Arabidopsis thaliana: one gene and its partners. The protein of the gene in region 2 interacts with the protein of the main gene of each other region in a pairwise test. Each region holds a gene or a part of one and is shown on either strand. Other genes may lie near its edges.

The links.
Region 1: the proteins of AtMYB103 (region 2) and MBD5 interact in a two-hybrid assay, tested with the Arabidopsis thaliana proteins (one large-scale study listed by BioGRID).
Region 3: the proteins of AtMYB103 (region 2) and ATS interact in a two-hybrid assay, tested with the Arabidopsis thaliana proteins (one large-scale study listed by BioGRID).
Region 4: the proteins of AtMYB103 (region 2) and LRL2 interact in a two-hybrid assay, tested with the Arabidopsis thaliana proteins (one large-scale study listed by BioGRID).

Annotation. Positions count from the first base shown.
Region 1 is NC_003074.8:17,146,579-17,150,144, forward strand, and holds MBD5 (methyl-CPG-binding domain protein 5), read left to right. Parts: upstream 1-1,653; 5' UTR 1,654-1,818; coding exon 1,819-1,989; intron 1,990-2,291; coding exon 2,292-2,417; intron 2,418-2,498; coding exon 2,499-2,750; 3' UTR 2,751-3,019; downstream 3,020-3,566. Other genes in the region: AT3G46570 (Glycosyl hydrolase superfamily protein), read right to left, coding at 1-289. UniProt on the Arabidopsis thaliana protein: Transcriptional regulator that binds CpG islands in promoters where the DNA is methylated at position 5 of cytosine within CpG dinucleotides. In addition, binds specifically methylated m(5)CpNpN but not m(5)CpNpG (N is A, T or C).
Region 2 is NC_003070.9:23,719,280-23,723,585, forward strand, and holds AtMYB103 (myb domain protein 103), read right to left. Parts: upstream 2,496-4,306; 5' UTR 2,347-2,495; coding exon 2,214-2,346; intron 2,086-2,213; coding exon 1,956-2,085; intron 1,539-1,955; coding exon 689-1,538; 3' UTR 504-688; downstream 1-503.
Region 3 is NC_003076.8:17,073,123-17,077,475, forward strand, and holds ATS (Homeodomain-like superfamily protein), read right to left. Parts: upstream 2,783-4,353; 5' UTR 2,626-2,782; coding exon 2,238-2,625; intron 2,099-2,237; coding exon 2,022-2,098; intron 1,785-2,021; coding exon 1,745-1,784; intron 1,625-1,744; coding exon 1,504-1,624; coding exon of another isoform or gene 1,458-1,503; exon of another isoform or gene 1,182-1,457; coding exon 1,097-1,181; intron 995-1,096; coding exon 875-994; 3' UTR 551-874; downstream 1-550. Other genes in the region: AT5G42635 (glycine-rich protein), read left to right, coding at 3,105-3,204, 3,257-3,346, 3,437-3,603. UniProt on the Arabidopsis thaliana protein: Probable transcription factor that regulates carpel integuments formation. Required for the specification of polarity in the ovule inner integument. Modulates the content of flavonols and proanthocyanidin in seeds.
Region 4 is NC_003075.7:15,078,586-15,083,683, reverse strand, and holds LRL2 (LJRHL1-like 2), read left to right. Parts: upstream 1-1,908; 5' UTR 1,909-1,933; coding exon 1,934-2,374; intron 2,375-2,491; coding exon 2,492-2,632; intron 2,633-2,749; coding exon 2,750-2,815; intron 2,816-3,159; coding exon 3,160-3,225; intron 3,226-3,495; coding exon 3,496-3,552; intron 3,553-3,889; coding exon 3,890-4,195; 3' UTR 4,196-4,566; downstream 4,567-5,098. UniProt on the Arabidopsis thaliana protein: Transcription factor that regulates the development of root hairs. Transcription factor that regulates the development of sperm cells.

The DNA of each region.
Region 1 (3,566 bases), on a different chromosome or scaffold from region 2:
GTGCGTTGGAAAGCTTGGAAAGAGAAATGATATCGGAGTTTGGGACGGTGACGGTGAGGGAGATTCCTGTAATGCCGGAAAATGCGGCGAGGATGTCGTGGTTTGTGTCGAAGATTTTGACGTGGTTGATTATTGTTTTTGTTTTGATGAAGTTGACGACTTGGTGAGGCGGTGGGAGGTTGTTGGCCACGGTGCCGTAGTTTACGCCGACTTGATATGCAGCGGAGAAGGGAAGGATGAGAGTGAGAATTAGGAAGTAAAGTTGATGAACAACTCTAGATCCCAACATGATCGTGAATGAGTTTATTTTATGACTTCCACGTTTAGCAAAACTTACTAGGAGTTGTTTTTTGGGAGCATGATCGTGTTCGGTTTGATTGTGGAGACGTGAGCGAGTGGCTCCCAAAAAATCACTCACTCCTAGTAAGTTTTGCTAAACGTGGAAGTTTTGCTAAACGTGGAAGTTTTGCTACATAATGTAATAATCATAAATTAATAACATTTGATAATTGAAACCATTAATAAGGATGTAAATAGTTGCAAATTAATTGTATTTGGGGGTGATTGGGAAGGGACTCTCAGACCATCCTCATCGGACAAATTTAAAAGGTGTCTTCAAATTTTAACAGAATAAAAAAAATAGGAAGATGAGAATTAATGCGCTGAATAGGAGTGACATGATGACTTTAATGTCTGTGGAAAAACATTTTTTGATACGGGAAAACACGAATGTGTCACCATGCTATTGGTTGGTGTTATTGTTTTTTATTTTTTCTCTTCATTTGACCAACAATTTTCTCTCTGTTCATTTTATCAATAAATTTCTCTCTCTTCATTTGGCAGTTAAGACATCCAATATACTGATCACCGATGTGGATGCTCTCATAGCTTTAAAGGTGTTTTAAAGTCCTCACAGTTTTTATTTTAACAGTCATGCTTTCTTGACTTTATTTTTTTTTAAAGTTCTCAAAGCCTTGTTTTTATTTGTTCTTTGTTTCCTTTTTTTTTTTAAAGTCACGATTACATGGCTTTCAAACAAATAAATATTAAAACTTTTCTTTTTCTTCTCCCATGATAATTAAAAACTTTCTACAATTTTATATATATTTTTTCACAAATCATTTTTGATTAATTAATTATTATTAATTTTATATTTTCTTTTAAGATCCAATTTACTAATAAATAATTTATTTATTACATGTGCAGTTTATTTGTTGAGAATATTTATTTAAGAATATTTTTTGTATTTTAATTTTATATTATTAATAAAATATATTTGTGTCACTATGTTGAAACATAATTCAATTTTAACATAATTTTATTTACAAAAATATATTTAATAATAGTAAAAATAGTACTCAAGCTTTTACAACTTTATATTACCAATCAGAATTTAACATCTAAAATCTCAACAGTTAAGTCTCTACATCCAAATTTTCTATGGTAAAAGTTTTTAAAGCCAAAACATTTACCGTCATCCTTACCGATCGGCCCATAGTTGTTCAAATAATTTATATCAGTTACACACATTTCGATTTTGATTTCGGTTACAAATATTTTATCCACTCTAATTCACAACAAGAAATTAATTTACCTTAATGGGCCCAAAAGCCCAAAAACTGCAACGTGGCTAATTAAGCCATTCCTCGAGCTCAAACTTTAAAACAGAAACAAAACTTCTAACTTACAAATTGTACTTCTGTCTTTTACTCTGTCTGATTCAGTCAAAAAGAAAGGAATATTAAAATCTCTCAATTTTATATACACTCACTCAATCATACCTTTCTCTGGAGACCTCCACAGGGTTTGTTTCCGGAAATGTCGAACGGCACGGATCAGGCTCAACCACCACCGGAGAACCCGGCTACTCCGGTGGATTCGAAGTCACGGAAACGTGCGACGCCAGGGGATGATAATTGGCTTCCTCCTGATTGGAGAACCGAAATTAGGGTTCGAACCTCTGGCACTAAAGCTGGTACTGTTGATAAGGTGAAAAAATCTCAGCCCTTTCAATTCCTTCGCAGATAGAATCGTCCGTACAAATGGAAATGTTATGTTGTTTGTTGATTTGAATTGGAACTTTTTCTTAGTATTTATGAAATTGGGTATTGAAGTTAGGTTATGATGATCTTATTGGTTTATATTTTAAGGTATTTGGAGACTTTATAACTAGTCTTTAAGTGTAACGTTGCTGTATGTATGCTTGTTGGATGAAGATTGCTCTGTTTAGGATGTTGTAGGTGTGAATATGATAATGCAGTGCTTGATGATGTCTTGTATTTGTAATGTAGTTCTACTACGAACCGATTACGGGTCGTAAGTTCCGGTCCAAGAACGAGGTTTTGTACTATTTGGAACACGGGACGCCTAAAAAGAAGTCCGTCAAGACAGCGGAAAACGGAGACTCACATTCCGAAGTGAGTTTGTTAGTAGACATTACCTTAAGGTTTAAACCCGTGTTTTACCTGAACTGTTGTTGTTTTTGCACATTTTTGTAGCATTCTGAAGGTAGAGGAAGCGCTAGGCGGCAGACAAAATCCAACAAAAAGGTTACTGAGCCACCGCCAAAGCCGTTGAACTTCGATTTTCTGAATGTGCCGGAGAAGGTTACTTGGACTGGGATAAACGGTTCAGAAGAAGCTTGGTTGCCTTTCATTGGGGACTACAAGATTCAAGAATCTGTCAGCCAAGATTGGGACAGAGTATTCACTCTTGTCACCTCCCAAAACGCTGGAAAAACGATGTTCTAGAAGATTGCTGCAGAAACTCACAAATTGTAATAACACGCGCTGCTAGATTATCATATCTACTTAGTATTTACTGATCGTTGGTTGGAATGCAGGTTAATTTTTTAGTAGTGATAGTTTTAGTAACACTTTGATTTGAGTTGTAATGTACTTTCTTAACATTTTCTTAGATAATTTGAAGGCAATGTATGTCTATATTATTGCCTTTGAGAGAATCCGATAGTAACAAAGTTATGAAATCTAAAGTTCGATGTGCGGTACTTCTCTGCTCAGTTCTCTCTGCTTTAAATTGTGAATCATCAGTTATGCATAGGCTCTATCTATCTATGCTTCTCTGCCTTTGTCCTAAATGATATACGGAAGCATACTGACATAATTTGGAATAAGTTCAAGTTATAACAGAACAGTGTGAAAATATGAACCAAAGCGTCTGTAGTCCAACGGTTAGGATAATTGCCTTCCAAGCAATAGACCCGGGTTCGACTCCCGGCAGACGCATTTTTAAATTTTGACATTTTACGCTCGTTGTTTATGAACAGTAAATATTTTCTTTAGATCTTTGTTTAAGAATTTTTTTTCTTTCTAAAATGGCTAAGAACATTGTCGTCAAAGACTATAATTCTTTTCTGTCTTATGCAGTGGATAAAAAAGGGGTTCTTATCGCACTTTTCAGTTATCGTTTGTTTCCTATCAGAAAACAAAATGGGAAAAATTCTCCACCTCAAAATTCGAGGAATTCTAACGGCGTGGAGATGAATAATTACCAAAAGTAACATATACACCCCCGTCGAAAATAACGAGTTTTCAAAAAAGATATTT
Region 2 (4,306 bases):
TTGTTGCCAATGCCATGAGGTGTTTGCTCGATTCAGCGAATAGATATCAACATTTTGATCTTCAGATTCACTAAACCAAAAGCGCGCTACAAAGATAATCCTACCTATTTTAAAGGAGTCTAAAACATGCATATAGTATCTTGAAATCCTTAATTTGACTTTGTTATTCCCTTGAAAACTGAAAATTTTGACTTTGTTGCAGATATACTTTGATTGTATCATTAAGAATATAAGTGGATTAATTACAATACTTTGTTATTCCCAAGTATTGTTCATTCACTACCTCATTTTGCAACTAGATTAATCATATCTTTATGCTCTTTTCTACAAACCAAAATGCTATAGTAATTTTCAAAATAGTTTTGCCATGGCCTGTACGTGGGTAGCTAGCCAAATCTCTACGTTTGTGTTACGATACGACAACGTTAACGAACTTAGTGAATGCACTACGTTACCGTATTGCCTTGCAACATGGAAGCAGTGTTTTTTTGTCCTTTTCATACATCAAATTAAGGACAAGACCTTGAGTTTTATATACATACATTCACACCATCTCTTTATCAACAATTTAGAACACTCATTACATAATAAAGTGAAAATCCCGTTACAAACTCTAAGAGAAAAAAGGTGAATAAACAAACTTATAAACAAATTAGCGGAGTTTATTTGCTGTGATTTAAACATTAATTTAAAACGAAGAAGGGAAAGAAGAAGATAAGGCAGATGATCCCAAATTCATTGATGGGTCTTGGTTTCCAACAAGAGATGAACCTTCCACGTTTATATTAAGGTTGTCCCAAAAGAAAAAGTTAGAGCATTGTTGTGAATCGTCCCATTGATCATAGCTTAGTTCTTGCCTCTTTAAACATTCGAATGTGGACGCCATTTCTCCATCTTGGACATTGCTGTTTTCATTATGGACGATGTTATCGACATTTCCCTCTATTAGCGCCGGTAGATTATAACTTATAACCGTGTCAATATTTGAATTGGAAGAGTTGTTGAACACATGTGACGCCAGTGTAGGAACTTGAAACGGCTCTTGCTGACGAAGATTCATATCCCATTCTTCCGTGTTAGTTGTTAGAAATGCTTGTTCACAAACATTTTCTCTTCCTCCTCTTTGCGTGTCATCATGATCATTGTTCTTGTTATTGTTTGTGATGATGTTTTCAGAGAACATTCCTTCTAGGATAGGAAGTGTTGTGTCTACCATGAAGAGAGGAGGTTTATGGGAGAAAAAAGTTTCTTGAATCTTTATATTAGTTTCTTGATCATTGGTGAAATTTAATTGGTTAGGAGAATCAGTGAAACCGTCAAAATGTAAGTTATCGATAGTCGATGTTGTGGTGGTAGAGGCCTCGATGGTAGTGGCAATCGATGTAGTGTCCGCATTCAATGTCACAGTAGTTACTGACGGTTGATGACGACTGTAATGATGGTGCGGTTTTCGTATCTTTTTCTTAATCCATGAATTCCAATAGTTTTTAATCTCGTTATCTGTTCTTCCCGGTAAATGACTAGCTATATGAGCCCACCTGAAAAAAACAAAAAACATAAGTTTAATAAGAAAATATGTATGTATCACATTTTGAGAATGTTCAATGAAGTAACTTAAAGTGTACTACTTAATAGCTCGACCAAGTAGACAAAAGTAAACGAGCTAGATGAATGAAACTACACGTTAAAGATTCTTTGGTCATCGACAGTAGGCTAGTCGTTGCTTCAAACCGTGGCCAAACTAAACATATAATTGTTTAAATTTAAAATATAACATGATAAACTGAATATAAGTATAAAATGTACTATGTATGTATCCCAACCCAACAAACTTATTATTGAAAATGGTATCAGTATTGAAAATCTTATAAGACTTCCTGTAGCGGTCTATAATAATACACTATCTTGAATTGATAATATATAAAAATTTAAGTCGAGTTAGTAAAAATGGAGACCTGTTTCCCACAACTCCATGAAGGCTTATGATCAATTTCTCTTCTTCTGGAGAGAACCTTCCTCTCCTGATATCAGGTCGAAGATAGTTTATCCATCGCAATCTACAACTTTTTCCACATCTTTGAAGCCCTAAATTTGATCAAACATGCATTTTAAAATTAGTTACATTAACTATATATGTTAATTAGCGCAAGATCGTTATAATTGGTTAGAGAAAAAAATATGTTACTTGAAAACTAATATACAAGTAAGATCACCTGCTTTTTCAGGGACTTCACTCCAACATCCATAGCCATGAGTTGTGATATATCTAATAAGCTTCTCATCTTCTTCCGGTGACCAAAGCCCTCTCTTCACCTTTTGCTGGTTGCAGCATGAGTGATGACCCATGATTAGTAGCTCCTCAAAGTAACTTAAATATAGTGAACCACTTAATCACAATCTTAAATTAATTTTTATATAAGTATATCACCCTTTAGGTTTTTACTCTCTCTCTCTCTCTCTATCTATCTTCTTTAATTTCTTGAGTTATGTTATAGAAGAGAGAAGACAAAGAAGCAATGGAGAGTTTTTAAAAGGAGAGGAGACAAAGGTCGGGTCGGGTCGGGTCGGGTCGGGTCCCAGGGGTGGGGCCTGAGATATTTCTTCATCGATCTAACCTTAAAACGATGTCTCATCGACTTTCTATTTTCATGTGTTATTACTCGTTGTACGTAGAGAGGTTTTGTTGTAGTATTATTACGTTAAGCCCTTATCACTTTTATGTGTTTTTCTCTTCACGTACCCTTCTGTCTCCCGCGAAAGTTCCTGTTTTCTTTGTTTCTTATATTCTATAAAACCAAATGATTTTAAGACGAAAACTAGAGATTGATTCGTAGAACTAATCGTCACATATGTATCAACTAATCATGAGTATATAATATATATAGACTCGCTGCACATGAGTATCAACTAATCATGTATTATCCACTGTTTTCCTCTATTTCTATCTCTCTCTATATACTGTATTCAGTAAATTAATTTTCATAGTAACGCAAATTATTTATTTTATTATAATAATTCGAGGTTGACCTATTATTTTATAAAAAGATTTTTCAAAATGAAAAATTCAGATACATTATATATTGGCTCAAAAAGAGTCATTTCGTCTAACATGTATAATTAAACTAACTGAATTCTGAAAATATTTAAACTTAGAAGTCGGACCAATAACTAATTAATGATCACATACAACAATTTGTAATCACATACTAAAACGCTTTCCATTTATCGTAACACACTTAATAAAGCAGTACTACTTTTTTTCCTGTGGCCTGTGGGTACTGAGTAGTACTAGTACTTGATGGCCGCAAACCAAAGGAAAATATGAAGCCAAATTTAATACAATATCCTTCCATCTTTCTAATAATTTCCGAAGCCCTATCTTCTTCTTTTTTGTTTGTAAAAAGTAATTAATGATTCCGAAGCCCTATCAAAGATGGAAATTTTGTGTCTTTTAGATTTTTTTTTTTTTGAATTTATTGCTTATAATTATGTTAACAACAACGAACAATAAAAAATTCTAATAAAAGTAGATAGAACTTGTGGATTCTATATTTCTATAGATAGAAAAGAACTTGTGGAATCCATACACAAGGAGTGTATTTGAAGTTGATATAGTATTGTTTTCAACGTGAAATAATTGATTAAGTCATGTAGCCGAATTATACAGTGATTTTTGTAATTTAAATAAAATCCAATTATATTAAGTACGTCCAATACCGAAGCTTTCTTCAAAGATATATAGAATAACAATCATTACAAGTTTCAATTACAAGGCTTTGATTTAGTTAGGAGACATATCGGAAAACCTTACCGAGAATGAAATCGCTTCGTTTATAAATTTTCTCCTTTTAATTTATTTTCGTATTGAAATCTTGTAAAGATAGTCATGCAATACTATATATACAATAATCAATTATAATCATATATGTAATATGTCACATCAGGTTTGTTCTTTTTGACAGGCCTTTGTTCGTTCTAACAGAAAAATGTTTATTTGTTCCAATCTATATAAAAAATGTTTATCACATTATATTTACCTTACCTGCACCTATAACACTAGTTCTGTTTGTTCGTTCTAACAGAGCAACAACAATCTCGTATTCTTTCCAATCTATATAAAAAATGTTTATCACATTATATTTACATACCTGCACCTATAACACTAGTTCTGTGTTTGTTATTCAATATATTAAATAAATATCATATATATCACCGTATATAGCATGCTCAATTTCTCCCTATAACAAATATGGATGATTGGAATCATCAATTTTGTTGTCAAAATAGAATCTTAACTAGGGAACTG
Region 3 (4,353 bases), on a different chromosome or scaffold from region 2:
AACCTATAAATATATCTTTTATATTTCGTTTCATCGGACATTTTTAAGGAAAACTAGAGAATTCAAAACTCCATTTTCAAGATGTTACAAAACAAAATGAGTTTATGTTCGCCACTAGATAATTATTTCACCTTTTAATTATTTTAATCATTATGATTATTACTCCAAGGTCTTTGATGAGCACAAGCGTCCATGAGGAACAAAACCCGACGTTCTGAAGGAAGTCAAGGTCGCTATTGGCCTTACGTAACAAAGCTACCGATCAAGACCAAAGATCATATCTTCTTTTATATATTAAAATTTAAATATGCAGTCCATGAGCATGATATAATATTCTCTTTGAGAAAAAAAAATTGATATAATATTCTACCACACATCTCGCAATATATGTGTTGACCCATTATTCAATATAAGCAAATAATTTACTAAAACTATAGATTTTACTTTTATGTAACAAGCAAAAAAAAAAGAATTGACCACGTTACAAAAAAACTCTCCATATATAACCAGAGTGGGAGCAGTGGAGCATACCAAAAGAGGAAAGAGGCAGCAGAAACTTTTTAGTTACCAGAGAATCTTTTCCAATTTATATTAAAGTGTGATAATGGAAGATTGAGATGTTTTTTTGAAGACTGAAACAAAAACAAGTTATCTCTACTTGAACTTGTACTCCCTTCTCATCGCACTACAACAATACTTACTACTTCAAACGATTCTCTTGATTATACATATCAAAAAACTCATAGAACATTCTTGGAAAGAAGTTCATATATGATGATAATATGATTCTTCCGAAGCTCATATGATCAAAACAAGTTAAAATTATGTTAAAACTGGTAACCTAAGCTGACTTATTTGTTGTAGCTTAAGGCAATTAGCACTTGAGAAGGGTTAAATCACTGGAGGGTTCCGCATATTCCATCCCCCAACTAGGCCGCCCCAATGTGAAATCCAAATTGAGATGAATGTTGGTATCCTCTTTCTCTTCATTGTCCTATTTTCAAAATATTACACATTATAAGTACATAAGTAAAAGTGTACCATTGTTACCATTGTCAGCATGCAATTAATGAGAGATAAGGGATAAATAATGTACCTTAGTGTGATGAGTTGTTCCCAAGTGAGAATATGCTTGTGTAGATATGCTCCTAGATACTTCCTTTGTCGATGACCATGAAGCTCTGTTCAAATTTTAATAATAAAACACATTTTAGAAATCTGTTTATAACTCCTATTGCTGGACAAAATTGTTGTATTTGGACCTACTTCTATATTATCATCAATTAATGTACATATACAAATTAACAAAGAAAATTCAAATATCTTATATTTCTAATTAGACTAAAACCAAAAACAACCCTTAACGAATTTAATGAGAGATGGAAAAGTACATTCACATAAGCCCTAGGAGAGGGTCATATTCATCAAATTTCACACAGAACTAAGGCAAAAAGAGATTAAATGCAAAATTTTACAAAAATAAATATATAAATAAAAAGTAACCTTTGGGTCTTTTGCACAGATGATGAGTTTGGCGAATTTGTGTCAGTTCCTTCATCAGCTTCTTCATTATTATTATTGTCCTCTATCCTCTGCTCTGCCTCTTTCTCTACCTTTCCTTCTCCTGTTTATTCCCAAGAACAAAAATACAAATTTTCTTTTAAAAATTAATAAATAATGAAATTTTATTTACATTTATATCTAATAAGAATGTAAAAATCAGTGAACTAGTTTGAATGCATACCTGGTGATCCTTTATCAGTGCATTTCACTGTTCTATACATCTGCATTAACAATCACACATTCTTGAAAAATCAAAAACAAATTAAAGGACGAAAAAAAATAAAAGAAATGTTTGGCTAAGTTCATTTCAACTATGCAATCATGCGTTAGATAGTGGCCCAATTATATACATTTCATACATATTTACATATACCTATATATCTATCTACATTTATGTGTTTGAATTCGTATGAGATTCCATTAATTTATATATAAAAAATGAAGAAAAAATAATGAACCTGCAAGTGACTCTTGACATGAGCTAGGGTTAGATCCTTCACATTCATGAGCTCCAACACTGATTTAGGCGTTGCTCCTGAGACAAACCAATACATGACAAATCTTAATACTTTGGTTTCAAAACGTTACACTAACATACCAATCTCGATTGGTTATGTCTTTCTTTTAAAATTTTTTTTGATTAGTATAGGAAAATGTAAGAGGACAATACATACTTTCATGGCCGCCAAGAAGTTGAACAGCATGGACGAAGTGAGCATGAAGAGTAGAAGTCCATCTCATTCTTGGAGCACGAATGCTTCGTTTAAGACCAACCATTGATGATGAGCTTCTCTTGAAATCTCGACCGTAGATTTGAGGTTGGAACATGTTTGAGCGCCTTTGATGATGATGGTCAAATCCTAAGCTCAAGAGAGGTTTGTTGAAGAAGTTGTTCTCATGGCTCAGGTCACTGAGGCTGCTTCCAGAATCACTGCTTGTGGAGCTCCGGTCACCGCCGTGAAGAGGTTTTCCGGCGTGATAGTTAGGAAGACTGATCTGAAGAGACAGATCTGGGACTGAGTTTGAAGCTCTCATACTGTTTCTTGACTCTAACATCATCATCTCACTATTTTCTTTATGATTCTTGTCTACTTAAATAGTGGAGATCAAAGAATGTGTGGAAAGAGAACGAGAGAGAGAGAGAGAGCTCTGCAGAAACAACACTTTTATTGAGGGAGAAAAAAAAGAGGTAAAATATTATATTTCTCCATCGTTGTCATTATCTCATTAATGTATTAAACAAAATTCTATTGTCTTTTTCTTATTATTAAATGGTTTTTTTTTCCAACAAAACAATTCTCTACAATACCTTATTATTCTGAAAACGCTTATTGCACTCTTTTCCTAGTACTACCAAATGTTAGTCCCAATGTAATAACCAAAAAAAAAAAAAAACTAGAAGTGAGGAAATATTTATAGGGTGAATTGCAAAACTAACTGTTTTTGATAATTTATTTAAGAAACTAACACTATAATATACAAAATGTAGAAATTAACACTAGAGGGTAGTAAAATTACTAAATTAGTCTTTTTGATTGGAGATGGTAGTGGTGGTGATGGTTGTGGCCGGTGGTGGCCGGCGGTGGTGGATGGAGTTGATGGTGGTCGGAAGTGTTGGTGATCGGTGTGGTGGTTGCTATGGTGGTGGCCCGCGGTGGTAGTGGCCGGCGGTGGTGGTGGTGGCCGGTGGTAGTGGTGGCCGGTGGTGGTGGTGGCCGGCGGTGGTGGTGGCCGGCAGTGGCGGTGGTGGTGGTGACCGGCGGTGGTGGTGGTGGCCGGCGTGGTGATGGCCGACAGTGGTGGTGGCGGTGGTGGTGGCCGAAGTTAGTGGTGGCCGGAGTCGGTGGTGGCCGGATTTGATGGTGGCCGACAGTGACGGTGACCGGTGTTGGTGGTGACCGGAATAGATGGTGGTCGGAGTTGGCGGTGATGGCCGGCGGTGGTGGCAGGCAGTGGTGGCCGGCGGTGGTGACCGGCGGTGGTGGCCAGCGGTGGTGGTTGCTACTGAAGGTATTGAGGCAACAAGGACAAATTGAGTAATATTACATATAATACAGAGAATATTATAATTACATAGTTAGGATGGTTAGTTAGTGAATTATAGTTTTTTTTGTTAGTTATTTATGCAAATTTCCCATATTTATATATACTAAATCTTGTAGTCAAAAGCGTTGAGTTTTTCTTACTTTATGTTTGAATATAATATAACATTATATGTTGAAAGAAATTTAACAACTATCAATCTTGTCGAGATATAGGAATTGCTCACATCGAATGCCATATTACTTGTAAAACTCGTGTGTCTTCTTACCGTTTTCTTAAATTTTTTCTTTCTTGAATGCTCTTTTTTTTTTTTTTTTTTTCCTTCTAGCAATCCTGAAAAGATGCAATTTAACTCATTTGATTCTCAACTCTCGATGAGTGAGGATTAGAATTCTCAACTTTCATCTAATACTAAGAAAACATTCAAAAGAAAAATGAAAAAGAGAGAGTGATTATATTTCTATATAGTTGGAATTGTGAGAGTATTGTGGTGATGTGCCCAAAAAGTTAAATGCAGTAACTTGGCCAAAATAATTAATAAATAATGATTTTTTACCCAAGAATAATAATAATTTAAGAAACAACAAAAGAGTAAAAAAGTTGGAAGACTTTTATGACAACGTAGATTCTGATTAGTGGTTAAAAAGGTGAAAACAAGCACAGAGAGAAAGACTGGGTGTGATAATTAGATAATGAGTACCCTATGATTTGCTTGTTTACTATTTTCTAATATATAAAATAAATTAT
Region 4 (5,098 bases), on a different chromosome or scaffold from region 2:
CAGAGTTTGTCAGATTCATACAAGGTTAAATAATTCAATATTTTCCCAAGGCCTAGTTAAGCCCACCTTTTGATATTTACAGATTATATTTATAGTTCATTATAGGTGAATAAGTAGAACTTGGGAAATCAGACGTGATTGTGTACCAAACTAAGATCGTAAGAGCCAGTTTTTCAATTTGAACAAAGCCGTAATTTTTGAGGGAGTTCCTCAAATTTATTGGGTTTTGTCAGGATTGAGTCTACAATGGTTGTGCACCATATGGTTTATTTTCCTGCCTTCCTATTGTAAACGTATTGTTTTATATAAACAATAGAAAAAACTACTGATAATATGAAATAAAACTAATGTATCAGTATACTAGATGGGACCAATAGTTTATTTAACATAGTAGCATTTTTGTCTTTACTATCTGTTTATTTTTTCTATATGGAATTTAAATTATCATTCGTAACTTATTTTACACCCCCTTAGTTAATTATTTTGGTATACATTATGATTATTAAGTAAAAACAAAAATAATTATTGCATTCTCTTGATAATACTAATACATGAGATGATAGATCTCTCTTTCTGTTGTGTAGTACATCAATGCTTACCAACATTTGTAATTAATAAATGGGAAGTGTATTAAAGCCGATCTCTACCTCTTGTGAGTTTGTGCAAAACTCAGAATGTCCCATGTGCTTAATCATGCATATTGCATAATAATGTTCTTTACTTATCTTTGTCAATTTAATATTAATCTTAATCAAATACTATCAAACAGCTGAAAAACTGTATACGATGGTAAAAAAGAATTTTTAAGGTAAATGATGAATTTATTAGACCAAAAAATATTTAACAAGTATAAAAAATACATGGTAACATGACATGATGATGATGACGATGTTCTGTTATGTTATGTTCTCGTTTGAGAGGATCCTCTTTCCCAAATGTTAATCAGATCGGTTAAAACAACAATTTCATCGATCGGTATCATATTAATCAGAAAACAAAACAAGAATAATCTATAAAAAGTGATCTTATTCTTATCGAACACGAGTATCGTCTAAAGGGATAGCATGTTTGTAATCTTGGGGACAAATTGTAAACAGTAATATATGAAGAGAACATTATCATGAACCGTTGATGAATGAATGAATGTACCCAAATGAATAGAGTATAATTGTATGCATTTATACTGCATGTCTAAATATTATATGTCTAAAATAGTTGTCACAAGAAAAAGTGTTGGCTCTGGTGTTATCTTGTAGACTATTGCATTTTTGGACTAGCAAATATTTATCTCGTGGTACGTAGTTGCCGGGACAAGTTTAAAACTCCGACTGATTTTAATAAAAAAGATCAACAATAGAGATTTGTATTTTATTTTATTTTTGTAGTTGGCATCCTTAACATAAATCCAAAGAATTTTATTCAGCATTCAAATAAACCAATTTTAATGTTACCGAATGAAAATCTTATACAATTATCTTAAACATGAGTTTTCAAAAATGATTAATAGAAAAACCTATGTTATATATATAGAAATTTAATAATATACGGTATTAGAACCACATTCTGTCTTAAATAAAAAAAAAAAGATAATTAAACATACGTAAATCATTTGAGTGAAGTTAGTACAACCGAATTTTTTTTTTTTTTTTTTTTTTTTAGTACAACCGAATTTTAAGTTAGTTTTATTACTTTAAGCCTGTCATTCGATCGACTATGATATTTTTAGAAATATATGTTTCACTTACTTTTTGTAGTTACTACAAAATTGTGAAAAGTATATTATCAACAAAGGATTATAAAATTGAAGAAATCATGACTTCAGTGATCGAATTCTTTTAGTGATTAAAAAAATCAAGAAATTATGAAAATAACACGAAATAATTAATTTGCAAGGATGATAAAAAAAATGGTAAATTTGGTAAACGTATTTAACATGTCAAAGTCAAACCCTTCAAATCTCAAATATTACAATCTCCATCCCTCTTTTAAACACCATAAAGCCTTAAACCTCAAAAGACATTTCAACAACATTCATTTTCATTCTCACTCCCCACCAAAAAAAAAAAAAACAGAAGCCATGAACTCCTCGTCTCTTCTAACTCCTTCATCATCTCCTTCTCCACATCTTCAATCTCCTGCAACATTCGACCACGATGATTTCCTCCACCACATCTTCTCCTCCACTCCTTGGCCCTCATCCGTTCTCGACGACACTCCTCCACCAACTTCCGATTGTGCCCCCGTCACTGGATTCCACCACCACGACGCCGATTCAAGAAACCAGATCACTATGATTCCTTTGTCACATAACCATCCTAATGACGCTCTCTTCAATGGCTTCTCCACCGGATCTCTCCCTTTCCACCTCCCTCAAGTATAACTGATAATCCACTTTTTCTCTCTCATTTTGCAAATTACTACAAAAGAGAAAACATTCATTACATGTTCTTTTGTTAAGTCTTAATTTAATGTTTTCTGATATATATTTTAGGGATCGGGAGGTCAAACGCAAACGCAGTCGCAGGCGACGGCGTCAGCCACCACCGGTGGTGCAACGGCGCAACCTCAGACAAAGCCTAAAGTCCGAGCTAGGAGAGGTCAAGCCACTGATCCTCACAGTATCGCCGAACGGGTTCGATTTTTTTATTTAACTTTTCCTCATTATTCGCTTTTCAGTTACCGAGAAAAACGTATAAAGTTATTTAGATGATTAAGGTGATTATTGAAATATTTTGAAATTATGGAACAGTTACGGAGAGAGAGGATAGCGGAAAGAATGAAATCTCTTCAAGAACTTGTCCCTAATGGTAACAAGGTAAATTTTAATTATCTTCATTAGTCTAAATTTCGATCATCAAAGTTGATATAATTAAAAGAGTAGATTCAAATAATCCAATTTGTATTTTACATTTCTTTAATAGTATATATCTCAAAATGAATAATGTGTTAAGTATATGAGTTACACTGATGTATTTTAGTCTTGGACCACAAATTGCTACTAGTTTAGTAGGTTATCTAGAGATTTGGACTTTTATGCAGTCAAATGATTAAACACTGATTAGCTAATTAATTCTAAAATTTAATTGATAATAATACTTAATAAACAGATGCAGAATTGCTAACAAGGTTTTTTTTATTGTTAAAAATAATAATTAACAGACAGACAAAGCATCAATGCTCGATGAGATTATCGATTATGTCAAGTTCTTACAGCTCCAAGTCAAGGTGAATCTCTCTCTCTCTCTCTCTCGAATTATTTTATAAGATATGAGAATTTTAAATTTGTTTTTGTTATAAGAGTGGAAGCTTCTTTACCTTTGAGTTGACATTAGAATAAGAAATCGAATATGGGCCTCTGCAACTAAAATTCCATATGCTCCCTTTCCCTTTTATCTTGTAAATTATTTATCTTTTGCGTTTGTTAAAACATAGTGTTAGTGTATATCTACCTCTTCTTTTGCTTAATTATAATATTTGGCAAATTTATGTATGCAGGTACTAAGCATGAGTAGACTGGGCGGTGCTGCTTCTGCTTCTTCTCAAATCTCTGAGGTAATAATTTCAATTCCTTCTCTCTTAAAAGGGATGATAGGATGACGTGATCACTATATAGAATGAGATTTTATTTTTTAAACTAATTAAAAAGAGATGTAAATTATTGAAAAGGTTTTAGTTAGGGAATAATACTAATTAAAAAGTAGTTTTGTTTTCGACTTTCTAAAAACAAATGAAAAAGTTTTCCAAAAAATAGTAAAAAAAACAAAACAAGGACAGGGCACGCGTGCCTACTTTCTCTCCAACAAATACCAAAACCTCCCATTTCAACATCATCATAGCTTTAGGGTTTTGCTTTTCTTGTTTTCTTTTTAATTTTATTGAACATTTTCAGGATGCCGGTGGATCCCACGAAAACACCTCCTCCTCCGGCGAGGCGAAGATGACGGAGCACCAAGTTGCAAAGCTAATGGAAGAGGACATGGGATCAGCCATGCAATATCTACAAGGCAAAGGTCTTTGCCTCATGCCCATCTCGTTAGCCACCACCATCTCCACCGCCACGTGTCCTTCTCGTAGCCCCTTCGTTAAAGATACCGGCGTTCCTTTGTCTCCTAACCTATCCACTACAATAGTTGCTAACGGTAATGGCTCATCGTTGGTCACCGTTAAAGACGCTCCCTCCGTTTCCAAGCCGTGATAACGGCCATTTGTCCATTTCATTTTCCCTTTTTTGGGTGGGAAAGAGAGAAAAAAGTTTAGAAGACAAAGACAAGTGGGATAGGTGGTTTTGGTCAAAGTTTAGAAAGAATAAGGTCGTGTTTTCGGATACGACACCGTATTTGCGTACACTTTGGTTTTCTGTCTTTACCTACTACAAACCACCCATAAGCACACTCATGTTATCATGTTTTTTTTTTTTTGGTTTATAAAGTTATATCCTTAAATTTTCTATCACAGAACCGGTCTGGTCTAACAAATGTCGTCAATGATGATCATTTAGGCCAAAGAGTTTGTTTAAAACTCGTTATGCTTAAGTTTCTAAATCTACACAACACAGGAATGTAACACTTAAGCAGGCTTAATTTCACCGTTTTATATACTCACATACTGAAGAAATTTATTGTCAATCGCCAATGTGGTCAGCGGTAAGATCTCATATAAATCTTCCTAGTAGTGTTCAAGAAAATCACTATATATGCAGCAGGGGCTTAGAGTAGCATCTAACGTTTAGAACACCTAGTCAGGATCATTTTAGGTGGTTAAGAGTTTTGTAGAGTGAATTTGTATGGTATACCTCTACTATGACCTACTACTATAAACGAAATAACATGATCTTAATTTATCTTATAAGCACAAAAATAAACAGCAAGGACCGAGAAAACATATAAGATATAAACCATTTCCATATATACCAACGACCTCAAACGTTTACATGTTCAAACCGTCAGAATGTTTTCTACCACGATCGAAAAAAAATAGTCTGAATTGAAACAGAGGAAAATATAATATATCATTTCGTTGTAGAGTCTCTTCTTTTTATTGCTTTGGCATGAGGTTTGAGTTTTGACTTCAAGTACAAAAAATGAATTTATTTTGGGCC